Linked DNA regions of Struthio camelus. The protein of the gene in region 1 purifies or fractionates together with the protein of each later gene. This does not show direct contact. Links are inferred from orthologs where the notes say so. Each region holds a gene or a part of one and is shown on either strand. Other genes may lie near its edges.

Evidence for each region.
Region 2: the proteins of MGRN1 (region 1) and MC1R purify together in Homo sapiens (affinity purification with western blotting; 3 studies listed by BioGRID). This does not show direct contact. The link is inferred for Struthio camelus from reciprocal best matches to the Homo sapiens genes MGRN1 and MC1R.

Annotation. Positions count from the first base shown.
Region 1 is NC_090956.1:18,748,715-18,764,217, reverse strand, and holds the start of MGRN1 (E3 ubiquitin-protein ligase MGRN1), read right to left. Parts: upstream 6,324-15,503; 5' UTR 6,235-6,323; coding exon 6,147-6,234; intron 1-6,146. Other genes in the region: UBALD1 (UBA-like domain-containing protein 1), read left to right, coding at 13,315-13,422. UniProt on the Homo sapiens protein: E3 ubiquitin-protein ligase. Mediates monoubiquitination at multiple sites of TSG101 in the presence of UBE2D1, but not of UBE2G1, nor UBE2H. Plays a role in the regulation of endosome-to-lysosome trafficking.
Region 2 is NC_090951.1:1,776,079-1,790,055, forward strand, and holds MC1R (melanocyte-stimulating hormone receptor), read right to left. Parts: upstream 4,654-13,977; coding exon 3,709-4,653; downstream 1-3,708. Other genes in the region: TUBB3 (tubulin beta-3 chain), read right to left, coding at 1-81, 209-317, 2,102-2,329; ribosome quality control complex subunit TCF25, read right to left, coding at 8,017-8,178, 8,413-8,485, 9,114-9,193, 9,401-9,491, 10,210-10,368, 10,952-11,039, 12,135-12,294, 12,833-12,938 and 1 more. UniProt on the Homo sapiens protein: Receptor for MSH (alpha, beta and gamma) and ACTH. The activity of this receptor is mediated by G proteins which activate adenylate cyclase.

The DNA.
Region 1 (15,503 bases):
TTGCCTTGGGCCTGCTGCTGGAGTTAAGAGCTCACCCGACCAGGCATGAAGTGCTTGTTACGAGGCATGCCTTCCAAACGCGAAATGCAGTCCGTGCAAGTCACAAAGAGCACAGGGCAAATCGCTCCTAGGAGCTCAGAGGGGAATACGCTGGAGCGTAGCACACCCCAGGGCTCTGCCAGGGCTGCTACAGAAACAACTGCTGGGAACACAAGGTCTCAACAGCACAGCTAACAAACAAGAACTGCAGCAACCTGCCTCGACAAACTCACGATACAGCCTGCAGCAGTTAAGAGAAGACGCTCCACCGCAAGCTTTCGGAAGGTGGCTGCTAGAATGACGCATTAAATTTAGAGCTCTCAATATCAGACCAAAGTTATGCGGTACTCCTCTCAACCACTGTCGCAAGCAACTTTGAGCATTTGTCCAAAGCGGAGACAAAACTCTTTAAGAAGAAAGCACTTCTGTAATTATCACACTGAGGACTACAAGGAAAGAGAAGGCTCAAGAGGAACAAACGAGGTTTCCTCTCTTTTCAAATTCAGTTGCCACGTTGTCTTGTTTCTACGCATCTAGCGTAAGACCAATAGGATTTGTAGTACGCCCAGGCGGCTTGCATAGACAACCTCTCCACGCATTAAAATCCTGCTGCAGCTCCATCGGTAGACTCTTTCCATCTCCGTTACCAACATCGCTTTAGGCTCTCACCCACACTACCATGGCTCCTGAACCTCATTCCCACACATCTTGCCAGTCTATAAAACATCCCTGACCTACCTTATGCAGGTGTCGCAAGACCAACTTTTACACAGAGCTCCGTAACTGTGAATGCAGTAGGGAAGCTAAGCACATTTCTCCTTGGCAGGAAAAAGGAAAAAAGAAGAGAAAAGAAAAGCAGAAGTCTTAATTAACCATATACAGAACTGGCACAAACAGAAATCACCTGAGATGAGAACGCACAGACACTCATGAAGAAATGATCGTACACAAACAACGAAGGAGAGAACATGAAAACAAAAGCTAGAGCAAAGAGAAACCGTGTCCTTTAACTAGGTCTTTGCCTTTAACTTTACACCCCAGAGCAAATCAGCATGAAACACAGGAGGCCATTAAATAAAAGAGAATAAGAACGGGTGACACTGCTGAAGGTAACTGAAGGACAAGTGGTAGATGCAACAGGACACCGTTGCGGTGGAAAACTTCACAGTTGCTGGAAAAACACCACTGGAACATCCGGAATGGCAAAGTCTGACTTATTAGTTTGTCTCTCACAAACAAAACTGGAATCCGAGTCTTCTTCAAAGCATCAAATGATATGGATCACACTACTATATATAGCCTAAGACAGGGGTGGGTTTTCTTATAATAAATACACTAGCATCAGGCACCAAGCACACTGCTGCAGTCCTAATTACTTCTCCATTCTCAAAAAGCAAAAGTATCAGTCAAGAGTGAACCTAGCTGAGTACTCCGACTCTTGTCCTTGCTGCGCGTAAGGTTTAGTGAGCAGGAGACACATTTCTGTGCCGGCATGGAGCGCTTGACTCCCCCCACTCTCCCAACATCCATCGATTGTAACCACGTGACCCCAACCTATTCCTAACCCACTGGCCTAATCCTGTAGCGTGCAAGCCTAACGCACAGTCACGATGGAAGAGTGACACACTGCGGGGAGGACCTACAGCAGCCAGGAACACAGAACTCACAGGCAGCTACAAGTTTTTGACCACTGTCAGAAAGCAAAACCTTCTGCTGAACACCAGTGAGTAGAAAAGACAGTTTTGTAGGTCAACAGGAAGAAGAGGCTAAACTGCCAAAATAAGGAGGGGAAAAACAACAACAACAAAACCACCACCCTGCACAGCTGTTATTAAGGTGAGTTAAGTCAATGCTTGGGAACAGCCTAACCAGCTCCCGTAAGCATCCAGGTTAGGAACCCTCCTCTCACTTCTCCCCTGCACTCTTTCCACTCTTCCCTCCTGCCCTCTCACAGGTTGTGGCGACACAGTGACAGATCACACACTACTGGCCGGATACCCACCACCACCAATTCCACGTGCCAAGGGACAGACTGGCAGATCGGTCCTAGAAGCAGCCTGAACCTGTTCAGTCTGAACCTGAGCTAGCTCTGCAGCTGGAAGAGGCATCCCTTCCTCACCCCCTCCCCGTGGTGCCACCAAGAGGGATCACATGGCAAACTGGAACGTGACTCTGAGCTGGGTTAAATATAATCCAGTAAAAAACAGTAAAAAAAAAAAAACATTGCTTTTGACCCAGGCCAGGTGCTTGTGGAGAAGCTGAGAGAAGACAGGAACAGAAGGGACCAGTCAATAGCAGGTGGCAGTGGCTATCACCAGCAGGGTTGGGCTGACGTCCCTACAGAACCACAGCAGGAGTCATGGAGTCACAGCTCCACTGTGCTTTGCACGGTGGGTGAGGAACGAGGGCTACCTGGGAAATACAGGGAAGTATTTCTGTTGCAACGTGAGCTGAGAGACATCAGAACAGGACAAGACGAGAGACTAGGTACAACTAGGGGTACTCTTCTCCTATTTAAAATTGTTCTTTCTTTGATTACAGCATCATTCCCTAACAAGAACAAACAAAAAAGCAGTTCATTATCAGAGAGGAGTACTCCAACCTTTTTTTTTTCTCCTAAATATGGCCAAGGTCTGCAATTCTCCAGCAAGAACCTACTCCAGAGGAGAAAAGTCATCTCAAGGGCATGTGCACCCTGCCCCGCTCCACACTGCAGATGAGCTCACTAGAACAAGAGACAAGCTGACAAAGGAGCTGCGGAAAACACTGGTGCATTGCTCACTGGTTGCTAAAGCAATAGGGGCATCATGCGCTGAGCCTGCATGCAAGAACACGGATTATTGTTTTACTGCTTCAAGCACAGAAGCACAGGGAAGATCATGACTGTTCCTTGTGATTACCCATTTTTAGCCCATTTTGTGGAAGCACTATTTCTTCTGTACAAACTGACAAGACAAACTGGGCCCTCCTCCAACCCTCTTCCAACTGGTCTGGCATCAGCAATACTAGCACAGTCTCCCCGAAGCAAACAAGGAAGGTTAAAAGGTACCAGTGAAGCGGGATTAAAGGAGAGGTTTGGGTGTCACCTTACAGCGTTTCAGCAGCCTCATCCCTGCCATGCTGCAGGAGAAACGCTGCTGACCCACACCCTGACTCTTGGGGGAATAAGCAGGGCATTTTCAGGGAAGGTTTCTTAACTACAAAACTGCACCCTGGTTGCAACAAAGCTGTTAAATGACCTGCCAACACCTAACTAATAACCTTGGCTCATAAGGCCAAGGTAGATTCCACAACAGTCTGCTCCATCTTCCACAGAGCACATGACTGCCACAGCAATAACCACAGCCAAAATCAATAAGTGAGAACTGAATATTCATCGCAGCCAGCTGCGACTCAACAAGGTGCTGTCCCTTGGTACGACCTGGTAAGTAACTATTTCTTTTTATGGGAAGGCCGACATATTGCTTAAATCACAGTCAGTGATTTACCTGCAAGTGATTACCTGCAAGCTGTGTTTACCTGCAGTGATTACCTGCAAGTTGTGTTTATTTCTGTGCAGGACACAATGTCCTTGGAAGGTGGCATACTTGTTCCAGAATGCAAGACTCTGCCCTTCAAAGCGATCTGGATAACAGACGGCACCCGATCAGAGCTGCAGCAGCTTTCCCAGGGATCCACAGTAAATCAAGATCTGCTTAAACCACGATCTCAGAGGGGACAGAACGCACAAGGTGGCAGACGGCCTTCAGTGCTGCGCGAGACTCCAGCAGGCACGTAGCCTCAGGTAACACTCCTTCACCCACACTTCCACCCTTTTAACGGGCAATCGCTGAGCGGCCAGGACACAGCCCGTGTGTCAGAGTAAGACTTCACTGTGTACTTCTATATCCGTATACCCAAGCACAAAAACCAGCCGATGGAAAAAAACAGCTTCTTCTAGTAAGGCAGTGAGTAGCAGTATTAGGCTTATAGGAACGTTGTCGAGTTAGAAATAGTTAGCAATCTTTTAGCCTAAGAACTTTGTGTACTTCTTCCCAGCTTGCTTCGTGAAATATAATCACACACTCACTTCTGGTCTTCTTGACTTCCAGTTGTCAGGTTTTGCGCGAGTCACAGATTTGTATGCAATCTTTCTAGACCCAAGTCAAACGTGCTTAGGACTGTAGGACCAGAAGGGACAACGTCCTTTGTAAATTGAACAAGATCCACTTTAAAAAGACAGGGTTTTTTTGCCATTATAACAACCCTTACTGTTCTGATAATTCAAAGAAGGTTACTGAACATCATCTTAAAAGCATTCATGACCTATTCTTCTGCCAAGATGGTGCTTGAGCTTAAATAGTCTTCTCCCTTCCTGGAGTCAACTGAATCCTTATTAGATAAACTTGAAGAAAGCCAAGAGAAAGTTCTAACCCAAAACAGGCAAGTGCAATAGAAAGTTCAGCCAAATTAATAAGCATCTAATTGCATCCAAAGCCTATAAAGCAAATGTTCTGCTTTTTTTTTTTCTTTTTATTAAGAGCTTCAAAGCGTTAGCTGTTCACTTTCACAAGCACCATAACTGGAATGCTCTTTGGCAGCATCTAGGTCAACAGAGCCCTTCTGCAGTGAACGTGAACATACAAACCAGACCTCAAGCCTATGAAGGGTTTACCTTGACTAGTACATAAAAGTACATTTGCCCTAACCTAACACACCTTGAAATTGTAGTCAAGGTAATTACAACAGTACAGAAAATTGCTAGCAGAGCGCCATGATACAGCAGGTACAACTTAGCAGCCAGCTTACGTCCACCCAGTCACCTCCACAGGGCAAGTCCACCAGCCAGCCAAGAGCCATGCAGAGACACGGGGTATCTAGCTGCTGTGTTCCTAGCAGGGACATGCGTCTTTCCTAGCAGTCCACGAAATTTGTCTCTTATCCCCCTGCCAAAAAAGCAGGTTAGATTTTCTAACAGAGTGCCAGCACAGAGGAAGAACTTTTGGAAAAGTTTCCTCCCTTCCATCTCCTCCACATCATTGTCCTTGCTGAAGGCAAACCTGCAACAAGACAAGGTGTAACGATCACAGGACTCCTCCTGAGACCTTCCACGCCTTCCAGACAAAAAGTGAGGACCTGGTGCCCTCCATCACACAGCTTAGAAGACTTTACAGCCAGGAAGTCCTCGGACACATGCGTAACTCAAGAGGAAAAAAAAGCTATGTTGCGCCTGTTCCTGGGTATGAGGAGACTCAACAGACTGGTGCTCTACAAATTCTTTCAGTTTGCCTGGAAAAGCCCTAGCAGAACATAAACTTGGAAAGTTTTGTTCGTGAATTAGGAGGTAAGAGCATCTGCATTCTCTGATGGCTTATTTAATGAGGAAAATAAATAAAACCCTTTAAACAAGTGGAACCAGGCCAATCTCAACAGCCAGTCTAAGGCAAGGTGAGTCACAAGCCCGTCCTAGTTCCGCAGAAGCGTCACTGCCGACAAATCTCCTAAGTTTTCAGAACTCATCCCTTTGGAAAACAAGCACGCACGTAGGCCACATGAGCCCAGCGGCTCCGAGGGGAGAACGACGCTTTAAAGGGCTAAAGGAGGCGGCTGCGCACGGGCCGCTCCGTCCCACCTCCCACCGGGCCCGACTCCGCTCCCAAGCCCCCGCTGAACGCGGCTGTGGGTCCCCTCCCCCAGCAGCCGGGGCCCCTGCAGGCCGGCGGGTCGCCGCGGACCGGCAGCCGGGCCCAGGGACAGGCCGATGCCTCGGACGCCCCTTCGGGAGCCCAAAGCTTTGCCGGCCGCGGCCAGGCCGTCACCCTCGAGGCAGTCAGGGCACCGAGCCTCAGAGGAGGAGCCTGAGCCTCACGCCAACTGCCTCGCTAGCCCGTTGCATCGCGGGTGCCAGGCGGCAAAGGCGGAGCGAGGCCCGGGGGGGCCAAGCGAGCGGCGCCGCCAGGCCCCGCGCAGAGCCGGCCCCGGCCCGGGCCCCGGCCGCGGTGACGCGCACGGCCGAGCGCCCCCGCCGCCGCCTCGGGCAGCGCTTCCCCCGCTCCGGCAGCGCGGCCCCGGCCGGCCGGGCCCGGCGAAGCTCCCCCCCCCCCCCCGCGGCGGCCCGCCGCCCTCACCGGACTTGGGCGGGTAGCGGTAGGCCGAGTTGGCCTGGATGTCGATGTCCTCCACGCCCGCGATGCGCCGGCTGAGCAGGGAGCCCATGGCGGCCGCGGGCAGGGCGGGCGCGCCGGCGACCGAGAGAAGCGCGGCAGCGGCGAGCGGCCCGCACCCGCGGCGGCGGCGGCGGCGGCGTTGGCAGCGGCGGCGCGGGGCAGGCCGGGAGAGCGAGTCCGCCCGCCCCGCGGCGTACGGCGGCCGCCCGCCCCGAGACTACAACTCCCGGCAGGCACCGCGGCGGCGCCTACCAACAGCGGCGCCGCGGGGGGGGGCAGCGATGCGCGCCCCCATGGGCTCTCCCGGGGCGCCGCGCGCGCCTCTGCCGGCAGAGGGCGCTGCCGCGGCCCGAGCGGCAGCCCGGGGCGGCGGCACCGCGGGCACCGGGCAGCAGGATGCACGGAGAGGACGCACCGGGATGCACCTTGCATGGTGCCTGCCAGCTGCAGGGCAGTGATCAGATGAAGCCCGCCAGCCCTCCGGGCCTCAGCACCAAGCCGTGCCCGCTCTCCGCCCAGCCATGTCCTGCCGTTGTCTCCAGGGCCTTGCTCGCCTTTGGGAAACCACCAGCGCCTTATGATGCACGCAACGCTGCCCTGAGCAGCCAGCCGTCACCATCGCCCGCTGTCCAAGCCATGAGCTGTGGGCAACAGGGCCGTGCTGGAGCCCTGCTGGGATGGGTGCAGCACCCCCCGTGCGGTCCCTGTGGGGACGGGTGCCTGGGGTGAGCCAGCACAGCACAGGCAGGACATGGGGTGGGGGGAACAGCAGAGGTAGCCCCATGGGGGAGGCTGTTGTGGCACCCACGGTAACTCCCAGGGTTCGTCCTCTCACAGAGAATCACACAGGAGGGTGAGAGGAGGTGTCCGAGATCCAGACGTGTGAGCACTCATACGGCAGCCAAGGACTGAAGGGTCCCTTGCATTAATGACATAAGGGCCAGGCCTACAGGATGGAAGAAGAAGCATAACAAGATGCCAGCAGCATCCCAATGCAGAGCCCTGTCCCCTCCAGTGCCAAGACCTTGAAGAGGCCCAGGGAAGAGCACCCCAGACTTATCTTGTTAAGGAAGCTATCTTCCTGCACACACACTATGGACAAACCAACAACACCCATCTGGGGACCCAGATTCCCAGCTTTGGAGCCCGAGATCCCCAAGAGATGCAAAGGAGCTGAGATGCGAAACAGGACCACAGGCATGTTTGACTTATTGCTTAAACTGGCCTCAGGCCAGGGGGCCTGAGGATGCTGGGAAGACAAGATGTTGCAGCAAGCCGAGCCTGATGGCGCAGGAGGATTTTGTGATAGCGACTGATAAGGCGGCGGGTGGGACACGTTGGCTGTAAATACAAACTAAAACGCACCTGGCGGGAACAAGCAAACAAGCCCTAGGTGGAAATTTGCTTCCAGTTAGTTATCACCCTTGAAGGTGCGGCTGCTCTGAGCACAGCAGCTTCATGCTGGTGGGAGCACACACAGCACACGGAGCTGCGGATGGGAACAAATGCTCGGGGTGAGAATAAAGCAGAATCAGACCTTGCTGTACCCAACTGGTATATCCCTGGGAGCATCGTTTTACATGCAGATGTGTTGCATGCTGTTAGCACTCACTCCGTCCTCACATCTTCTCCTAGGGAATCCTGGCTCCCATCAGGCCCAGAAATTAGGCAGGGACTATTGACCATTCCTGGGCACAGCTGAGAATCACACAGGAGACGCTTCAAATTCTCAATGTACCTGAAATCTGATTTTTCCCCATGGCACCACACTGCACTGTTAATGATCCACCCCGGAGCCCTGTGAAACTAGCCAGTGCCATTTGCAAGCCCCACGCTAGGTCTGAAGGGCGAGTGGCACCACAGGAAGAACTAGCCTTGTATTTATTCCCACAGCAGTGGGCTACATCGACTCCAGCCTCCACGCAACCAGTCAGCTGCCCCCCCTTGACCTGTAAATAGGTGAGATAGGAGCCCAGCTGCAACAGGGAAGCTCCGCAGCTGAGCAGGACTCTGTCACAGGTTTAAGGCGACCGAGGGGAAAAGCCAGGGAACTAGAAATGCCCACATCCTACCTGCAAACTGCAAGAGCTGGGTAAGCGGGGACTTGTTGCCTTTGTTTCGGGCCTGTTTCCGTCCTACCCCATTTACCAGCTGAGGAACGCTGCTGAGTGCCGCCCTCAGCGGCAGCGGCCAGGGCGAGCAGGAGTGAGAGCAGCTCATCCCAGCCATGAAAGCCGCAGCCTGATCTGGCTCACGGAGAAACGCACCCCTTTGTCAGCACGGTGGAGCAGGGCTCAGCCCAGGCCCCGTACACTGGGCCTCGCACCGAGCCTGGGATCACCCAGGACTAATGGGGACAGTCGGTCTGCAGCTGCATGTCCCAGCCTCTTCTCTCTCCTCCTCTGCACTATTCACCTGCTTTCCTTCTAACCGCAGGAGCTGGGGACACCTTTTGCGTTTGGAGGAGGGCTGAACGCTTTAGTTGGCTGTTGCAGTAGCAGACCAGGAACTTGCCTCCCCGTCCCTGCAGTAAGAGCTATTTATTACTAGACACATACAGCACCTGGCTCACGGGGGGACCCCAGCTCTGCTGGGGCCAGATGGTGCCTTGGCAATAACTTGTGTCTGGGCGCTGCCCACAGTATCCCGCAGGCTGCCTGCTGGCGTCCGGAGGGTCGGTCCCTCTTTCCCAACCAGCCTCTCCTTGCGAGAGTTTCTCACAACAGACATTGCAGGAAGAGGGAGGAATGGAGTTTTTTGAACTGCAAAGCCACGTCCGGCCCACACGGGCTGCCCAGAAGCACGTCCTGGCTGCTCCCTGCCTGCACAGGGAACTCACAGGGACGCCCCGCAGTGGGGGGAACGAGAGCCCTGGCAGAGCCCTGGCAGCGGCAGGTCTGATTCAAACAGCTAGCAGTGCCACGGGCAGCCCCAGACCCCGGTAATCACCCAGAAATCCCCCAAAGCCACCTCACCCCGCACACCAGCAGCTGCCTCTGGGCTCCACGCAGCCCAGCAAGGCTCAGCAGAGGGGAACATCTCCCTGCGCCTGGCTGGCAACCGCTTGTCAACCGGAGCAAGGGGGAAGAGGGGTGCCAGCGGTGCCTCCAGGGAGCACCGTCCCAGGGCAGCACGTGCTGCTCGCTGGGGAACCCAGCGCCGCACAGGTTAAGCAGGGCCTCCAAGCCCAGGGGAGACCGGTGTCCCGGCAGGCAGCGCGCTGCAGGCACCGGGGAGCTCAGCACTGCGGCGCGGGGCCCTGGCGCAGGCCTGGCATCGGGGCCGCGTGGGGAAGCGGCCGCAACGGGAGGCTTTTGTTCCGCGCAAAGTCTCTACCAGCAGGAAGGTGCCCGCGGGGCTCGGCGCAGCTCTCCAGAGCTCTGAGGAAGTGGTGGGGCCCCTCGAGGGTTGTCATCTGAGAGGGTAGGGGCCTTTGCTGAAGAATATCTCCCCAAGGCCTCTGCTTAGCGAGACGCGTGTGACAGACAACTACAATAGCAATGGCACGCCAGGGACGGGCCCGGCCCTTCCGCTCCAAACCCCAGCGCCCGCGAGCGCCGGAGCTGAAGGGCAGCACCTCCAGCTGACAGCAGGGCCTTTATCCCTGCCAGGCCCAGGGGACGCCAGGCGCTAGCACACACAAAGGCAGGATATTGCACCACTTGCCTCAATTCCTTCGCAGGAGCCACTGTGAACAGCACGGGGGAAGGAAAGGGAACGACTCGGGGCCGGAGCAGCTACGGCGCAGCACGGCAAGGCCCCGAGCCGCTAGCCTTCCTCCCACCCAACAGTGCGTGGGGGACAGAGCGGCAGCACAACTGCAGCTCTGCATGGCCCGGGGCTCAGCTGGCACTGGGATCATGGCCTGTGGCACAGGCAGAGCTCAAGGTGCTGAGCGAAGGCCAGGAGCACTGGGCTCGTACTGCAGGTGGAGAAACTGAGGCCCAGGCCCACCCGTAGCTGCTTGGGTTCCCCACCTGCTGCTGTCTGCACTAGGCCACAGTGCCCGAATGACTGGATAGGCAGGTCCTGCAGCTCACGGGTGGGAGCCGGCTCTTCCCTCTCAGCGCCCGTGCTGCAGCCGCAGCAATGGCACCCTCGCCTCCAGGCTCAGTGGCTCCGCTGAAAGCCCCAGCTCCGTGCTGCCAGCCCTGGGCCCTGCGCTGTGCTCCAGGACACCTACGCAGAGCAATGCTGACGATGGAGAGGGAGAAAGGTCACGCAGGTGGGAAGCCCTCTGACACCCCTAAAACAGATGAAAACACTCCCAACACAAAACGTATGAGGAAGCCTGAAACCCCAGGGACCCTCCTGCGTTTCAAGAGGGCGTGAGGAGGCCTCTGCTCTCCTGGCCATCTCTGGGGTCACAGCTCGCCCACGTTCCATTCTGGGTAAAATTCATTCCGGAAAAGCTGAGCCTGGAGCCAGTCACCAGCTTGATTTGGAGAGGCTGGGCAGAGGAGCAGCAGTAGAGAGGAAGGATCCTTCAGCCGTGAGCCCATCTCCCTTGCTGGCTCTCAGGTCTCTCCGCTGTCTCCGTTTGTACACTCACTGTCACTGAGAGTTTATGTCGCTGTTTCCCAGATGCAGCTGCTCTCCAGTAGATCGCTTCTGTCCTGCAAAACATAGAGCAAGGGGAGCTCTGAAGTTGGACTTCAATTACCAGAGCGTAACCCAGGAGTCACTGCACAGAGCTTCAGCCTGATAAAGAGGCAGAAAGACAGGAGGGGCACTCACCCTACCACTGTTAACATGTTTCTCCAGCTAACACAGAATTGCCCTTCAGAAACCTCCTTGGAAGCCTCTGCCAGGGAAGGCAGTTACAAGCATGCCCGTGTACACAAGGAAATATGTTTGCCTTCAAATCTTCCACTCATCAGAGCAGCTCATCCAAAGTCCAGCTGCTCCTAGGTTTATTATCCAGTAAAGCAACTCGCTTTGTCTCCACTGCCCCCTCCCCGGTGCTGTCACTCCCGTTCTTTGTCAGGTACTTGCAGAACAACAAGGTTCAGGAGCTCTGGAGACCATGCATGAAGCTATTTCTGACCAGAAGGAGTGGCGAGCCCATGAACTTTGCCTCCTTAAACGCTGCCCTGCTCCAAAGGGCTTGGAACCCTCCCCGAAAGCCCTGCTGGGCTGGGGCCAACCCTTCCCCCTTCAAAATCAAACGGGAAGGCTTCTAAAAACATCTGTTTTTCTTGAATTCAAACCATCTTCCGGGAGGTTTGTTTTCCCAGCTACATTAACACCTTGCTGGCTACAGATCCCCTCTTACTGCTTTCCTCTTGGGATTGTCTTGACCTTATAAAAAACACCAGCCACCTCTTGACATGTCCTGCTACTGCCACTGCACAGATGCGGCCTCACTGATTTGGGCAGTGGCATACATACAAGGAGGACAAATCCCGGTGACCACCGGGATCCACTACAGCCTGGAGCACTTTGCATCGTTACTGAAGGACACATGGAAGACAGTTAGTTACCTGTGGTCAGTTTTGCACCCTACTGAGGCAAGTTGTATGCGAGCAGTGGAGACAGCAAATCACTCAGATCAAACGTCCGACCTGCTTGAGCTCCAGTCATTAATCCTTATGACTCAGAAATACTTGCAGCCGTATGCGAAACGCAGGCGAGCGAGAGAGGCGTTAGAGAACAGACTGCTTGTTCCGAGGCTAAGCCCAAAACATGAACACAAATTGCAGGAAAAGAGCCTAGGATCATTCAGGAAAGGTGGAGGCTCCGGGGCCTTCGCAAGCCCTGCAAAGCCGGGACTGTTTTCTTCGTTTCGCTCCGCTTGCTGTTTTTTCCCTTGCTTTATTATCTCCCAGCCTTTCGATCCGAATGTCCATGCCTGCTTATCGTTTCCTGGTACTTAGCAACACCATTGTCCCTCGCCAGTACAGCAGAGCAGCCCAGCAGTGCCTGCCTGGCTGCGTGCTTTCTTCTGCTATGGTAATGCCCAGCTCTCAAAAGAGCCTTTCATGTCACCAGGAGCCCCCGGCACCTTCCAGAACATTCCCCCACTGCAGCCTCTTGTTTCACATCTTGGCAATTATGCAAATAGCACAGGAACGTGCTTCAGCAAAGGGAGAAATGGAAGCAAGCCTGCAGATGGCTTATGCAACTCCCCATTTTTTATTTGTTGCTAGCACGGGAGCACGCAGGAGCCCTGGGCCTGGCCCTGGGACGCGGAGCCTGCCCAAAGCACCTGCATCCCCAGAGACCTCCCGCTCCGCTCAGCGCGGCCGCAGCAGCCTCGTCCCCCGGGCGTGCCACCCCGCAGCCTGCCGCGGTGCCAAGGCACTGAGGGGGCTCTGCCAGGGCCTGAGGCTCGGCCCGGCCCCGGTCAGCCCGCAGCAACCCCCAGCCACCAGAGGAGCCCCAGGAGCCCCTCCCGCCGCCGCCCGGTTAAACATTACCCGGGGGCCGGGCAGCCGCCGGGGCCAAAGGGCGGCGGCGGCGGCGCCCCCCGCGCCCACAGCGCGACCGTTGAAGGGGGGGAGAGAAGCCGTTGGGGGAAGCGCGCGACCGTTACACCCCCCCCCCCCAACCCGCCGCCCGCCCCGCGCACGCGCGCGCGCTCCAGCCCTGGCGCTCCCCGCGGCCGCTCCCCGCACGTCAACAGGAAACCGCACGCGGCCGACTGTAAACACCGCGAGCCCCCTCCGCGCCCCCCCCGCGCGGCCACGTGACCGGCCCCGCCCCAGCCGGGCCCGCCCCCACCTCCCGTTCATTGGGGGCAGCAGCGTTGTTGACCATATATGGTCAGGTACTACCACACCGCTGGCGGCGATTGGTCCTCTTGGCGAGTCACTCAGGACGCGTCGGCCTCTGACGCCGAAATGCAAACAAAGCGAGGGCTGCCGGGAGTCGTAGTCCCTGCGGCGGCGGCGTGGGGGGGCGGCGCGGGCGGGGGGGCGGGCGAGAACTACAGCTCCCAGGGGCGGCGGCGGCGCGGCGCCGCCCCGCCCCGCCCCGCGCGGCCGTCGGCGGGGCTCGCCGGGCGCCGTGAGTCAGTGCCCAGTAAACATTGGCGTGAGCCGCGCCGGCTCCGCGATGGTGGCGGCGCCGTGAGGGGTTTGGGGGGGGGAGGGGGGAGCGGCGAGCGCGGCGGGGCCCGGCCGGGACCATGGACGAGCTCAAGCACCAGGTGATGATCAACCAGTTCGTGCTGACGGCGGGCTGCGCCGCCGACCAGGCCAAGCAGCTCCTGCAGGCGGCCCACTGGCAGTTCGAGGTGAGGCCGCCGCCGTGCGCGCCGGGGCCGCGGCTGCCGCCCCCCTCCCTTCACCCCCCGCCCCCCCCGGCTCGGAGCCGCGGGCGCGGCCCGCCTCAGGCGGGGCCCGGGGAGGGCCGCCCCGCCCCTGCCCTGCCCTGCCCTCCCTCCGCGGGGGCGGCGGGGCGCGGCGCTGCCCCCACCCCCACCCCCACCCCCGTGGGCGGCCGTGGGCGCCGGGACGTGCGCGGCCGGCCCGCGCGTGGGCTGCGCTAGCGCGGGGTCGTGCTCCGCCTGGGGCGGGGGGGGGGAGCAGCTCCTCCGCCGCGGTGGGGGTGCCCCGGCGTGCGTGGGGGGGCGCCCCACGAGGCGAGCCCCGCTCCGCTGTGACACGCAGGTGGGCCCGTGGGTGCTGCGCTCGGGGGTGCTGAGCCCCGCATCCCCGCCGCGCGGAGCGGCTGTGGGCTGGGGAGCCCCGCCGTAGCCTTTCCCACGTCCCCTGCCTCTGAGGGTCTGAATGCTTAGGCAGCTGTGGGAGAGGAGACTTTGTAGGTCAAAGCTCTCCTCGCCCCGGATGTCTTTTTCCCTCTTGCTCAAAAGCAGGATCCTCCGCGACGTCGGTGGCAGCGAGCGTCGCGCGTGGGGTTGGGCTCGCAGGCGGGGGGCGCGCCGCGGCTTCGCCTCCACGCAGACCCCTGCAGCTAAAGCGTTGGGAGCAAAGCGGGGAGTGCGGCGGCTGTAGCAAGCAAAGCCCTTTCTAAACAGGATTTCCCCCCCCCCTCCCGCAGCCCCAGCAGCTCCGTAGTCTGGAGCTGATGGATTTGACGCTAATGGCACCTTTAGAATTGAAGTGCCCGTTTCTGTGATGCAGAAGGAGGTCTGAGTCAGTACGGGGAGCAAGAGATTCGGCTGGTGTTTGTCTGTGCGGCTAGGGCACCTCTTGCTCAGCACGCCGTGCAGCCCTGGTCTTTCAAAGCGTCGCCAGCAGGCCTCGGAGACGTTATTCGGCGCTCGTTCCCTAACGTGACGACTGTCAGATGGAGCAGACCTAGAGGCAGTTCATTGCTATGCAATCCGTGTGCAGTTACGAGATTTCCAGATGCTAAATGGGAAGCTGGCGTTCAAAGCCGAGCGGGCCGTGTCCGAGGAGCGAGCGGGTGGGGGCGTGGGGACATGCGGAAAGCCGAGCAGACGCTCCCGCCCGCCCGTGCCCAGCTGCCCGCCGTACACCTATTTGTTTAATGGCACGTTCTGCTTAAAGGGATCTCGGTTCATGGTGGACGCGGCCCGTGTGTAACGCGCTGCCTTTTTTGTTTACTAATACAACTTGACAGTAGCCCTCTGAGACTGGTAAAATCAGCTTCCGCCACCTCTGTGCGTGTTGTAAAAGAGCCGGGAACGGGTGACAAAAGTTGCTTCCCTTTGAAAAGGCATTTCGCAGAACTTTGCCACCGTTTGGCGAGTTGCACAAGTACAAACAGCCGTCTCCTGCCGGTTTGGCACTCACATGACTCAGAGGAAGCTCAGCTGTAAACAAACGCGCTGTGATGAGCAGTTACCATGTTCCCACTCACTTTTGGTGAAACGGTCAGATAATTCCCTTTGCAAAATGGCCGCTGGGCATGCCTTCTTTGGGGAGCTGTGCTGGGGAGGGGTTGTCTCCTGCCTCCAGAGTGCTCTCACCTCTTGGTCCTGGATGTGATATTCGCAGGCCTTTTTAAAACTCTAGCATGGGACCCATTTGCTGGCTGGCCTGGGTCTGCAGCGGGTATAATTTGGTGGAGTTCAGGCGAGTTCGGTTCTGACTGACCCTGCCTTCACTCGTAGCCTCCTTGGTTTCAAAGCGCCGCTCCTGGGGCGCGGGGTGAGTCAGAGCAGCTGACCTGCGCGCTGAGGACGCGCTCCTCCGGCTCTCCCCCGTAAGCCCGCTGCGTGCCGCGAGGAGAGGCGTTCCTTGGCCCCGAACGTGCCGCGAGACTGTCGTCGCCCTGGCGCTCGGCGCGGCAGCTACCTGACGGCGTCGCTGGAGCGAGCTAGGCAGCCTGGTGGCGAGGCAGCAGGAGCGAGGTTCCCCAGCTCTGCTCCTCCGGCGTGGCCGGGGC
Region 2 (13,977 bases), on another chromosome or scaffold:
GTCCGAAGGCGCCCGAGCGCACGCTGTCCATCGTCCCCGGCTCCAGGTCCACCAGGATGGCGCGAGGCACATACTTGTGAGCTGCGGAGAGACGCCGAGTGACCCGCCGCCCCCTCCCTGCGCCCCCGAGCCCACCGCACCGTGGGGACCCCCACCCGGGGACCCCCCGCCGCCCTCCCTGCCCAGCCCGCCGCCGCCGGGGGCTTACAGGAGGCCTCATTGTAGTAGACGCTGATGCGCTCCAGCTGCAGGTCCGAGTCGCCCACGTAGTTGCCGCTGGGGTCTATGCCGTGCTCATCGCTGATCACCTCCCAGAACTGGGGGGGCACGGGGGGGGGGTCAGAGGGGGCAGCGCTCGGGGGCAGTGTCCCCCAGCAATGGGGCACAGCCCCAGCTCGGGGTGCCTGGTGCCAGCATGGCAGGGGGTCTCTGCACCGTTGGGGGGGGGGGGACAGGACAGGACCCAGGGGTGATCCTACCCTTTGCGGGGGGGGGAGGGGGCCTCTGCACCATGGGGGGGGGCAGGACAGGACCCAAGGGTGCCACAGAGGCAGGAGAGCACCCTGGGGGCCTGGCACGGGGGGGGGCAGGCTCTGCATCGTGGTGGGGGGGAGACCCAGTACTGGGAGTGCCACACCCCAGGGGACCAGGGGAGGTGGGGGGGGGTCACATCAGGAGAACCAGGAGGTCCGGGGGGGTGGCAGTGTCACCCTGAGCACCGGGGGGGTCACATCAGGAGAACAGGGAGGCCTGGGGGGGTGATGGTGTCACCCTGAGGACTGAGAGGGGTGTGTGGGGGGGGAGTCACGACGGGAAAACCAGGAGGTCTGGCAGGGGTGGCAGTGTCACCCCGGGGGGGGGGCCACACCAGGAGAACAGGGAGGTCCGGGGGGGGCTAGCAGTGTTACCTCGGGGGACTGGGGGAGGTGGGGGATCACACCAGGAAAATCAGGAGGTCCAGGGGGGGTGGCAGTGTCACCCCCAGGGGACCAGGGGGATGGGGGGGGTCATGCCAGGAGAACAGGGAGATCCAGGGGGGTGGCAGTGTCACCCCAGGGGGGGGAACAGGGAGGTCCAGGGTGGGGGGGGTTGGTGGTGTCACCCCCGGGGGGGGGTCACCCCGGGAGGTCTGGGGTGGAGGGGGGTGGCAGTGGTACCCGGGGGGGGGGGGGTCACCCCAGGAGAACGGGGAGGTCCGGGGTGGGGGGGGTGGCAGTGTCACTCGGGAGGGGTCACCCCGGGAGGTCTGGGGTGGAGGGGGGTGGCAGTGGTACCCCCGGGGGGGGGGTCACCCCGGGAGAACCGGGGAGGTTCGGGGTGGAGGGGGGTGGCAGTGGTACCCCCGGGGGGGGGGTCACCCCAGGAGAACCGGGGAGGTCCGGGGTGGGGGTGGCAGTGGCACCCCCGGGGGGGGTCACCCCGGGAGGTCTGGGGTGGGGTGGCAGTGGCACCCCCGGGGGGGGTCACCCCGGGAGGTCTGGGGTGGGGGAGGTGGCAGTGTCACCCCCGGGGGGGGGTCACCCCGGGAGGTCTGGGGTGGGGGAGGTGGCAGTGTCACCCCCGGGGGGGGGTCACCCCGGGAGGTCTGGGGTGGGGGAGGTGGCAGTGTCACCCCCGGGGGGGGGTCACCCCGGGAGAACCGGGGAGGTCCGGGCTGGGTGGGGGGGGGGTGGCGGTGTCACCCCGAGCACCGGGGACAGCGCCCCCGGCCCCTCCCCGCCGCCTCGGGGCGGGTGGGCGCTGGCCGCGGTGCTGAAGCGCCGCTCGCGGCGGCCCCGGCGGCACCGGCACCGCCCCGGCCACACCGCCGCCGCCGCCGCCTTCGTGCTCGCCGGCCGGGCCGGGACCGGGGGCGCCGCCCGGTGCCCGGTACCCGGTGGCGGCGGCGGGGCTGCGGCAGGCGGCGGCCCCCGCCCTCCCCTCCCCCGCGCCGCGGCGGACAAAGGAGCGGGGCGGGGCCCTTTGTTCTGCCCGGTGCGGCGGGGCGGGGAGGGGGGAGGGGGGGAGCCTTTGTCCGCCGCTGCCCTCCGCAGAGCCGGGGCGGGGCCGGCGCAGCGCCCGGTGCCGGTGCCCGGTGGCGGTGCCCGGTGGCGGGCGTTACCTTGGCCCCGATCTGGTTGCCGCACTGGCCCGCCTGGATGTGGACGATCTCCCTCATGGTCGGGCCGGGACGGGCGGGCGGGCGCGGAGCGGTACCGGCAGCGCGGGGGGCGGCACCGCCGCCGCCGCCGCCTTTATAGGCGCCGCGCGCCGCACCGGGCCGGCCGCTGACGTCACCCCCGCGCCGCAGCCAATCGGCGGCCGCCGCCGCCGCAGCGCGCTGCAGCATCCCTGCAGCACCGCGCCCGCCCCGCCCCGCCCCGGACCGGACCGGCACACGGACCGGACCGGCACACGGACCGGACCGGCACGGCACACGGCACGGACCGGACCGAACCGGACCGGCACGGCTCGACACGGCAAGGACCGGACCGAACCGGACCGAATCGGTCCGGACCGGCCGGCACGGATCGGCCAGCAATGGATGGGCCCGGATGACCCGGCACGGATCGGCTCGGCACGGCCGGGAACGGATCGGCCCGGCCCGGCCCGGCTGGGATTGTCCCGGCCCGGCCCGGCCCAGCCCGGCGGCGGCAGGGGGGACCCGGCGCTCGTGGACACCCCCCACCCCCACCCGCACCCACGGGGGGGGTGTCACCCGCAGACACTCGTTGTGGGGGAGGGGCAGACCCCAGCCCAGCTCCCTGCGGTGTGGGGGAGGGGAGGGGGCCCCGGCCCGGACACCCGTGGGGCTGGGGGACACCCACGGCAGGGACAGAGCCCACCTGCACGCCCGGAGTGGGGGGAGCGGGGACATCCCGGCGTGGAGGGGGGGGGAGAGAAAGGGAGACCCAGACACCACCCACATACTGGGGGGGGGCTGGGACCCCCCTGCAGACGTGGGGAGGGGCCGGGACCCCACGGGGGGGGATCCCGCCCCACACCACGGGGGGAGATGGGGGGCATCCCCCCCCCGGACACCCAGGGCTCCCAACACAGCCGCAGCCCTGCAGGACCCCCCAGCCGGGGCAGCGGGGGGACGCGGGGAGCCACGGCGGCGGTGCCGCAACAAAGGCTGGCGGCGGCGAGGGGCCTCCCTTTGTGCGGCGGCGGCCGAGGACGCCTGGGCCCGGCGAGGAGCCCGGGGGGCTGCAGCCCCCCAGCGCCCGCTGCGGGGGGGGGTGCTGAGCGCCGTGGCCTCACCCCGCTGCCCCATGCAGAGCAGCCCCACGGCTGCTGCCGGTGCCCGGGCGCACGGGGATGCGGCAGCCGAGCAGCGACACGCGGCGGCCGCCCCACGGATCCGTCATCGGGGCTGGGGAGACGCCGGCTCCGCCGTCGGCACGCACGCCTGCCCCCAGCGGCTCCCAGTCCATCCCAGTCCCCAGAGCAGGCAGGTGCTGGACCTGCTGCCCCCCCCTCCCCGCCCCACAAAGCCGGGGGGCCGCAGGGCCGGGCGAGGGGCGGCAGCGGGGCTGCGCACGGCGCGGTGCCAGCCACAGCATCAATGCAAAGAGCCTTTATTCAGCTGGGTGGTACCGCGCGGCCGGGCGGCGCGGGGCCCCCGCGGCACTGGGCGCAGCCTGGGCCGGGCCGGGGGGGGCCGGGCCCCGCAGCCCGTCCCCGCCGGGCCGTGCCGTTACCTGCGCGCAGCCCGCGTCCCGCTCGCTACCAGGAGCACAGCACCACCTCCCGCAGCGTCCGCCGGAGCTCCCGGCTCCGGAAGGCGTAGATGAGGGGGTCCACCACAGAGTTGCAAATGATGAGGATGAGGAAGAGGTTGAAGTAGCTGAAGAAGCACGTGCAGAAGGGGTTGGTGGGGCAGGTGACGATGAGGATGAGGTGGAAGAAGAAGGGCCCCCAGCAGATGAAGAAGACACCCAGCAGGATGGTGAGGGTCACAGCACCCTTGAGGCTGCTGGTGCGGTAGACAGTGGGTTTCTTCTGCTGGCTGGAGATGCTGCGGAGGTGGTGGCGGGCCAGGGTGAACATGTGGATGTAGAGCACCAGCATGAGCACCAGCATGAAGAGGAAGAAGCCGATGAGGCAGAGGAGGATGGCGTTGCTGCGGTAGTAGGTGATGAAGATGGTGCTGGAGACAGTGCTGGCCAGCCAGACGCTGGCTATGGTGACCACGGCCCGCTGCAGCGTCATGATGCTGTGGTAGCGCAGGGCGTAGAAGATGGTGATGTAGCGGTCCACAGCGATGACCCCCAGGAAGGAGAGGGAGGACACGACGGAGCTGCAGATGAGCATGTCGATGACATTGTCCATGTGGCGGACGATGGTGGCGCGGATCACCAGCACGCCGTGCTCCATGAGCAGCATGAAGAGCGTCTCCACCAGGTTGCTGACGCTCACCAGCATGTCGGAGACGGCCAGGCAGCAGATGAAGTAGTACATGGGCGAGTGCAGGTTCCTGTTCTTGAGGATGGCGGCGACCACCAGCACGTTCTCCACCAGGCTCACCAGGCCCAGCGTGAGGAAGAGCTCATTGGGGATGTCGAGCCCCTGGCAGCCGGCACCGCCGGCCCCGGCCGTGGCGTTGCTCTGGTTGCCCTCGCTGGCGTTCCAGGGCTCGCGGAGCAGGCGCAGCGGGGCCAGCGTCGACATCGCGCCCGCCACCGGCCCGCGCGCGCCCTCGACCCCGGCGCGAGGCACAGGCCCCGCGGGCGCCTCTCCTGCGACGGCTTTGGGCAGAGGGAAGCGACACTCGCGCCTCCTGCCGCCCCGGGGTCCCGATGGGCACGCGGTGCCAGAGGTGGCCCGCTCGCCTGGTGGCCGCTCCGCACCCCTGGTTTCTGCAGCCGCTCACGTCCCCAGGCTTCCCCGGCTCCCCTTGCAGCCACGCTCCTCCCTGGTCCACAGTGGTGGATTAGCGGGAGTTATGGGGAAGAAAGGACCCTTTCTCTGCCCTATTTTAAAGCCGGCTCCCTCAGCCCCTCCTCCGTGGAGGGTGGGCACGCACATGACAGCTCTGCACCCCAGCAGTGAGGGCAGCCGCGCGGAGCCTGTGGCTGCCGGACCCACAGTGCTGTCCTGTGCGCCCTGCGATCCTGGGGGGCCGGGGGGCTTCCTGTGCACCCTGGGGTCCCCTAGGCACCCTGAGGGGATCCCATGCATCCTGGGATCCCCATGCATCCTGGGGTCTCCTGTGCACCCTGGGGTCCCCTATGCACCCTGAGGTTGCCTGTACACCCTGGGGTCTCCCATGCACCCTGAGGTCTCCCGTGCACCCTGGGGTCCCCTATGCACCTTGAGGGTCCCCTATGCACCCTGGGGTCTCCTGTGCACCCTGGAGTCTCCCGTGCACCCTGGGGTCTCCTATGCACCTTGAGCAGATCCCATGCACCCTGGGGTCTCCCGTGCACCCTGGGGTCCCCATGCACCCCTGTGCCCTGGGGGACTGGTGTGCCCTGGGGAGTCCGTGCACCCCGGGGAGCCCAGGGGGCCGTGCGGCCTCCCGCTGCAGGAGCAGAGCGGCTCCTCCCAGTCCGGTGCAAAGGGCAGAGCTTGCCCACGGCTCTGGGTTTGCTCGGAGCCACATCCCACCGCAGAGCCAGCTGCGGTCGGTCTGGCCCCTGCAGACCGCCACGACGTCCCTGGGGCTGCGGAGCACCGCCTCAGCCCTGCTGGGGTGCTCGCAGGCCCCAGGGCTCCAGCAAGGGCACCAGTGGCCACAGCAGCACGCGGGGAAGGCGGGTGGCGCGCCGCGGGGCAGGTGACAGGGTCTAATAGGGATCTTCAAAGGCTCCATTTTCTCTGGGAGAAGAAACCGGCTGCTGGTCCCACCACCCCAGTGCTGCTGGAGCATCCCCACCACGGCCGGCCCGGCTCCGCACGCAGCCGACACGGGGCACCAGAAGCTGCTCCGGGCAGGGGGACGAGATGCACCACGGTGCCTCGCAAACGCCAAGCCCAGCCAGTGAACGGACTAAACAGAGTCCCGGGCCCTGGCCGGCTCCCCGGTCGCTGCCTGCAGAGCCGCCCGGCGCCGCTCGGAGCAGCCGGCCCCGGAGCCGCGCAGGGGCCTCGGCTCCCCCCGCCAGCGCCGCGGCGGGCTGGGGAGGCGCGGGGCCCATCTGACCGTCATGTGCCTTCTGCTCCGTGTTGATGCCTAGAGCTGCGCAGCTGCCAAAGAGCCGGTCACATCAGCATGAGAAGGCCGGTCCCGCTGCCATTCCCACCGGCCGCTTCCGGCTGCTTCCCTCAGGCTGCCGAGGGCCCCTGCTCGGGGCGGCCCCGCCGCTGATGAAAGCACCTCTGTGCAGGCCGGGCGACCGCACGGGGAAGGGCCCGTCCTCACCCCGAGCGGCTCCTAAGTCAGCGCGGCAGGGATGGATCAGGAATTGTGTCTAGTGCTCTGGGGACAAGAGCTGCCCGTTGAGCCCGGGCCGGTGCGCGCTCACCCTGCCGCCGGGCTGCTGGAGGCGGCAGCCGCTGCCCGGCTAGAGCCACCTTCGCACCCGCGGCCGCAGGGGCAAGGCCAGCTCCGAGACCTGCTCCCCCTCCACGGCAATGCTGAGGAGAGGGAAGCCCGCAAGCATGAGCCCAGGCAGCTGAGCCCGGCTCTCCGAGGCGCCCCAGGTGCTGAGGGGAGTCCAGCTGTGCTCAGCACCAGCCCCCTGCGAAGATGGTGTCCCCAACACCTCCCACCAGTAGGTCTCCTTAGGGAGCAAACAGCCCAGGCTGGCAGGGAAACCTGCACACGAGGAGGCCAGACCAACAGGCACTGTCTTCCCTTCTTGGCTGCTGCCCAGCTAACCAGTGCACCGATTCGTGCAATGAATTTCAGCTTTATCAACAGAGCTTTTGAGTGCAAAGCCATAAAATGCCCAGTCTGCAACTTCAGAGAGCACGAACTGAGCCAAGAGCAGCAGCACAGGACCAGGGAGCAGAAAGGGCGCTCCTCCCCACGGGACAGAGCCCCGTTCGCTCTCCTGCCTGGGACGTGCCAGGAGGCAGGACTGAGCCCCCAGCACAGACCGCGAGGCTCAGGGCAGCCTTCCCCACCAGCCCCAGCGCTGCGGAAACCCACCCACCCTGCGTGGGGTGCCTCATGGCCACTACTCAGACTGCCGCTTTATGAGCCAGGCTGCTCCCAGAAGCAGACGCAGCACAGACAGCGGCTGGAGCAGGCACTGCACCAGAGCGGGAGGATTTTTCTGGACAGCACAGCCTGGCTCAGCATTAGGCAGCCACATATACCGTTACACAGCAGAAATAGAAAAGCTTTTGCTCATAGTTGCTGTCTGCCAGAGTGTTATTACAGCTGACCTCATTCCTGGCTTTGCATCGTTTTGTGCCCTGCTCAAAAGCAGCAAAATAGGGGAAAGAGAAAAAAAAAGGGGGGGGGGGGCAGGGGACATCCTTTCTGCTCCCAGCATGATCAAACAGCTGCATCACAAACAAGAGCTGCTCCCTACACACCTGGGTGAGACGCGCAGGGAGACCTGCAGCACCCAGGGTGCTGGGGTGCCACGTACTTGAATGCAGCCTGTTGCTTTATGCTGGCCGGAGTTCAAGCAGCGCCCTGGCCCGTTTGCACCCCGAGGCCCTGAGGGGACAGCAATGCCACAGCGACCGCTGAGCCTGTGCTTTGACAAGCTGTAACCCTCGTGAGGGCTGGGGTGTTTCAGGGAGGGAAGGAACCTTCAGCCTGAAGGAAGTGGCGAAAAGCAAAAATGGCCAGAAGGAAGAGGGCAAAAAAGACTACAGCCATTAAGCGTCCCTCCACTCTGGGGGGAGGGATGTTATAGATTAGCTCCGCCATTTTAAGGCGGTTCCTGGCCCTGCACTGAGAGATGTGAAAAGTCAAGAGCCTACAGCGGCAGCCTCCACCAGACAGAGCTCTTTCCCTGCACCAGGAAAGACCACAAAAAGCAAGCCCCTCTGGTTTGTGTGACTTTATTGGAGTGCGACACAAGTCAGGGGTGTGATTACACAGTGTTATGGTGGAAGATGCACTCTCTCAGCTCAGTCCCAGTCCGCATCGCCTTCGGGATTGTCGTCTCGTGGGGGCTCCTGAAACTGGATGTTTGCCAGCATGTCCCGCATGGCTGCCATGAGCCTGTTCACCCCCTGGTTAAGGTCCTGCCCTGCTCCAGCCTCTTCATCTCCATCGTGCCTGATGTCCCCCTGCAAAAGAGCAGAGCTAGAGTAACCAGCTGCGGAGCTGCCTGTCTGCAGCAAACAGGGAAAAAAAGCAATGTTGCCTGCCAGGAAGACTCAGACTGTTCTGCAACCCGACGTTTATGAACTGCACATGCCAAGAGCCACTCCCTTTGCAGAAACACTGTGCAGTAGATACTTCTCTCTGTATTGAAAGCAGAAGCGTGCTCAAGTTTGCCAGCAGCAGCTGACTGCACATACCTGTAAGTTAAAATTTGGCAACAGTGATCGGAAGAAGAGCGATAAAGTGCTTTCATTGGATGGATGATTCATTCTGAAAGAGAAAAGTCACACAACTCTGTTAAGGGGGTAGCTTGGTATTTGACCTTTCTGTACTCATTTGGGCTAAGACAGTGCGGAGAAGCTAGAGAGGACCACGCCGTCAGTGCCAACGCACAGCACCTCCCCAAGCCAGCCCAGCCGGGTGGGCTTCCCCAAAGCAAGGCTGGGGGTTTCATGGGGATTTGCTTGCCCCAGGCAGCCAGCAGCTGGCCAGCATCTGGGCAAAGCAGTCATTAAAGGCGCTACTAGGTTTCCTCCAAGCAGGGTCAGTGTGTGTAAGACGTGTACCAGCTTCACCCAAACAGTCTTTGCACACTGTGGCTGGCAGTGATTAAATCTGTATTATTCCAAACCACCTCATTTAAGAGATGCTAATGCCAACCAACATTTTTCAACAGCCTTTGTCTTAATGGCTGTGAATAGCTGCTGTCTCCGAAGGTGACCACCAGGCATAAACAAAAGCAGTAGGACAAGTTCTGCCTGTACAATTTGCCTGTCAGCAAGAGCCATATGCCAGGCTCTTACACGGACGACGACAGCTCCGAGCGCCGAGCACTGAGGCACGCATGTTGGGAAAACGTTAGCTGTGCCGGTGCAGAAACAAGGAATGGAAAAGGTACCTTTCTGGTCTGGTGTAGGAAATGACAGAGTCCAAGGGAGGTAAGGGGTCAAACCCCATTACAGGCTGCGATGTCACCTCCTGGAGAGGGGAGAAAAGGAAGAGGTGAAGGTTGTGCTGCTGTGTGCTGTGTTAAGCCTGGCAAAATGACCTCTCTGTGTGTCCCCTCTGGGACCCCTCCAGCGGCTGTGTTTTAAGACATGCCCAGCATTTGCACGCATAACAGGGATGCAAGTGCCATCACACCGCACACAGCAACGCCATCTGTGCTGCCTTAAGGCCCCTCACCAAAGGCAGAGCTGCCGTGGCTTCCTTCATCTCTGAGAGGATCACATGCCGGTAGATATTCCTGGGTGCACTCTGGTATCGCATCTTCCTCCTAAGGCAGGGAGAGGAGACAGAGGATTTCTGCTGAGAGATCGCACAGAACACCTCAGCACAACAAGGTTTTCATTTCTGCTTCTCTGTGTGCAATGTCAGCTTCATCCCTAGTTCTGCTGGGACTTGCCACGTTGGAGAGAGCTGGTCTAAGGCAAAGCCAAAGTTGCTGAGCGGCTGCTGACCTCTAGATGAAAGAGCAGAAAGGCTCAGAGACACTGCAGATTCTCTCACCACCTTTCTGCAGGTCAGCAGAGCAAACTAATTTCAGTTCAGGACAACACTTAATGCCTCCCTCTCCAGCTTCTCAGAGCTGGAAGTTGTTCTAAGCACTTGCCTGCCCTGTGCACTAAATGCCTTTGAGCCAGTGCAGTCATCACCTGCCGCTCCCAGCCAGCGGCAACCCTTTCGTCCTCTCCGCACTGCTTCCGAGGCACATGCAACAGCTGAGGCTGGAGGAAGCTAGCGCGGCGCACGTTCCCCCACGAGCAGGAGCTACAGCTCTTAATTCACCTTTGTGCAAAGCCAGGAAGAAGGGAGCCTCTGCCTTCCTGGCCCCACAGCTTAACCCTCAGCTTTGAGGCTCTGAGCCAGTGCCAAAGTCACTGCTGCCCAGGAGAGAACTTCTCTCTAGTCTGACTACCTCCCCAGCCTGGTCTGTCCCAGTTTTCTGCACCCATGTCTGGTACAAGAGCTGTTCTTCTGTCTACCACACTCACTTTTGCTCGCACTCCTCCACCAGCGGGTCCCTGGCATCCACCTTGCATAACACCTCATGGACATTTGTCTCCAGCCAAGCCATGACAGCAGGGTCCTTCCACAGGGAGTGAGTCCTTCCCACGTAGAGGGTTGTCAGCTGGTTCAAGGCAGGAGGCTGGCTATAGGAGACAGTTATTATGCAGGGCCCCTTCCTTCCTCCTGCCTGCAGGTACCTGTGTTGTCTGGAAAGGGCTCGACTCTGGACTGTGCTTCAGTGTGAGAATATGAAAAGAGGAATCACAGGCTCCTAGCTTTGCTATTTACATCTACCTTCACCAGTTTTTCTGCATCCGTCTGTTTTTGGGACAAGCACAGCCATGAGATGAAAGTTCTACTGCCTTTACCCGAGGGGGAGACCATTCATGTGTTTACATGACCACGTGTCAGGGAAACCCAGACTGGCAGGAGACAGCCTGCCCCAAAAGCATGCACACATTGTTCTGTTACTACATGTACCAACAAGCTACAGTATGAACTTCTGACCCATCTACATTAAGGTGAGGCAGGTCTATTAGACTTATCTGGTAGCTTTTATGGGAATCCATTATCAAAGCATCTGATAGCTGCTCGGCATGCCCTATTCAGAAAGGGTAGATAGTCTCCTCCGCAGCTTATAACTCTATTAACTGCCTGAGCAAGCAAGAGCCCCACTGCCAGAAGAATCGATTCCTTCTATTTAATAAGAACATCTCCAGCTCTTACCTTATCTGAGCGTTCAGCCCAAAAAAGGAATGGGATGTGACCCTGGCATCTGCCTGCACACTGCAGTGATCCAACAACGGCATAAGAACTGCAGGACAAAGTCACATAGCTCATTTTCAACAGACTGCCGAGAAGTGCCATGGAAGCAGCCAGGCAACCCTGCCAGGGCTGCAGAGAGACAGGCCTCCATCCAGGGAGGGCTGGTCTCCCAACAGGTTGGGGGTGCTGAATGAGAACCAATACAAAGAAGGATGCTGCCAGCTTCACAGCTGGAGTTTATGCTGTGTTTTATTCTCTGTGTGGATGACGGAAACGGATCCAAAAGAAGGAAAGAAAAACACCAACAAACTTTTTCTAGTGAAATAAGGTGCAATTGTAATGCTGCTGGCCTTTGATCTTGAACAAGGGTTTTATTTCAGTCACCATGACAAGCAGCAAAAAAAAAGACGGTTTCAGACAACACAAACTAAAGCTCTGTTCAAAAGCTGGTTGTTCCTGCCTATAAAGACACAGCCTCCCTGGCACTCTGTGTCCCCTCTGGGCCTGGAGGGCTACATATCTCCTTTCAGGGACAAGAGCCCTAACTGGATAAAAGCAAGAGTGATGGGTGCCCATACAGACCACATCTGAAGCATAGCAGTGCCCTGGAGGGAGAGCTGAGAGAGACTTGCTGTCTCTGCTCTGAGGAACCCTGGGGTAAAACATTTTCCTGCTCCAAAATGCCAGTTCTCACCCTCCACCAACTCGCGTGCCTGTGACTATCTATAGTGAAGGGCCATCAGCTGCTCTGACTGGAGGGTGAACGGCAGAGAGAACAGCTCCTGACCTCTTCCTAACACACAGCAGACTCATGGCTGTGTCAGCCCTATCTGATTCCACTGCTCACTCCCTCTGGCCCTGCCAAGGTGCAGGGCAGAAAGGCCGAACCCCACCACTGTCCACAGCAGGCTGTAGGTACTGCTTGGACTCTTACAGCAGTACCTGTCACTGCTGATCTGTATGACTTCTTTTGCCCCTCTGAGCCCGGGCTCCTGTCTCGCATGGACCGTGGCAGACACCGTTTGCAACCCACGGGCAAACTGTTGCTTCTGTTTTCGACTGCCTGGAATCCATCATTTGCTTTTTCAGGTGAAGACAGTGACAAAGCCTGTGGGGACAGACCTACCGGTGTGGACAGACTTACCGCTTGGGAACATGATCAGCGCGAGCTGGATAAGCCGGGCAGCTCTCTCCCGGGCTTGGCTTAGCTCCAGCTCCGAGCGCTCCTCCTGCTGGCTCAGAAAGAAATAGGCCAGCGGAACGGAGAAGGCAAAATTGGGGAGCTGGGACAAATTCCGGTGACTCTGCAGGACCAAAGGGATAGATTTAGTAAGACATGAAGACATGCAGAGTGACCTCAACACGGCTGACCTGTAGGTTGAGTGGGATTTCTTGCTTACTGGAGTAAGTTACTTTCCAGCCTCTGGCTTGGCTTGGTCTTCCCACAACTGAGAAAGCAATTTTGAGTCCACACAACTGTTTATAAGGTACCAGGATTACGAGAAAACTTAACAAACACCCTAGCTTTTATTGGTCATTCTGATGACCTCAGGATGCCAGTCTGCCCATAAGACTGCCCTCAAAGGGTTAAGCCAGTATTGAAAACCACATGCAATATAGCTCAGAGGGTCTACTTTGGAGAGAAATTGCAGGGGGTAACTTTTACACAGCTCTAGAGATACAAGTCTTTTTCCTCTCACGCGCCATGGCACAACTTTCCCCCCCTCTTCCAGCCCAACTCACATGGAGACAGCCCACTGAAGAGCCTCGAGCCCCAGGAACGAACCAGTTCCCACCTCGTCCTGCCTTGTCCCTCCCCAAGCCGGCCTGTTGGCAACTCACCTCCCACTCCTGGAACATGCGTGTCAGGAAGCTGTATTCTCTAGCTCGGAGGGACAGAAAATCTATCAACAGCAGTACACACAGCGGGTCGTTCTCTGGATCAAGGCTTCAGAGGCAGGCAAGCACAACAGGAGGAACCAAAATAAGTGTCACAAAAGCTTAAGGAGCTGCCCTCGTTTCTAAGTCAAATAAGACTTTCCCACTAGCATCCAGAAAGCTTCCATGACTCAGCAAATGGAGATGAGGGGAACAAAATCATCCCCACATGGCCAAAGGGCCGTGTCTGTCCCTCCTGCGTCCACGTTCCTGTAGAGGGGTGATGGGCCCTTTGTGGAACCACACAGGAGGAAGATCAAGGGCCACACAAACACAGCAGGTTGAAGCCACTGTTGCACGTATGCTCTGCAAAGACTCCGGGCTCTGCCAGGCCTTTCTCCGCATCAGCCAGGCCCACAGCTTAGTAGAGAGGACCTCACAACATGCGAGGCAACTCCATGCGAGGGCCACCCAGGCCCTATATGTTTAAGTTTCCTTCTAAAGGATCATTTCTGTCTCTCTCCAAAGCAGCGACAGATAAGAGCACATACCCACAACTAATCTGTGAGACTGCATCTGTGAGGAGTGGCAATGAACCTTTAGCGACATTGGGAACAGCATACCTCAATTTGTTGGTCCAGCCCAGGGCAGATGAGACTTAGGCATGTTTTTAACAACATGTTCCTTGGGAGCACCTAAGCTCCCCACTCCAGTCTGCAGGAGTCACCACGTGGACCCTGCACGTTTCCTGGAGGAAACGTGGACAAAGCACTCCACTGGGGTCTTTACCTCAGAATCAGCTTGCAGAACTCCAGGGCTGTCCGGGGACAGCCTCTCTTCTCCAGGAACATCAGGTGTTTGAAGAGAGCCAGGTAGAAAGCTCTGTGTAGCCAGAATAAGAACAGGTTTTAGAAGCCAGACTTAGAGAAGAGCGCTTTGCTTCATTCAAGAATGGGAAGCCAGTCAGCCTGAATGTCTCCTCCCTCAGGTTTCAATGCAGGCAGCCAAGCGGGGCCCAGGAAACCCGTTCTAGTGCTTCAACACAGGGTACCAGAGACCTTCCACACAGGAGGCTCCAGATTCTCATCTCAGATTTTTGAGCTTCATGC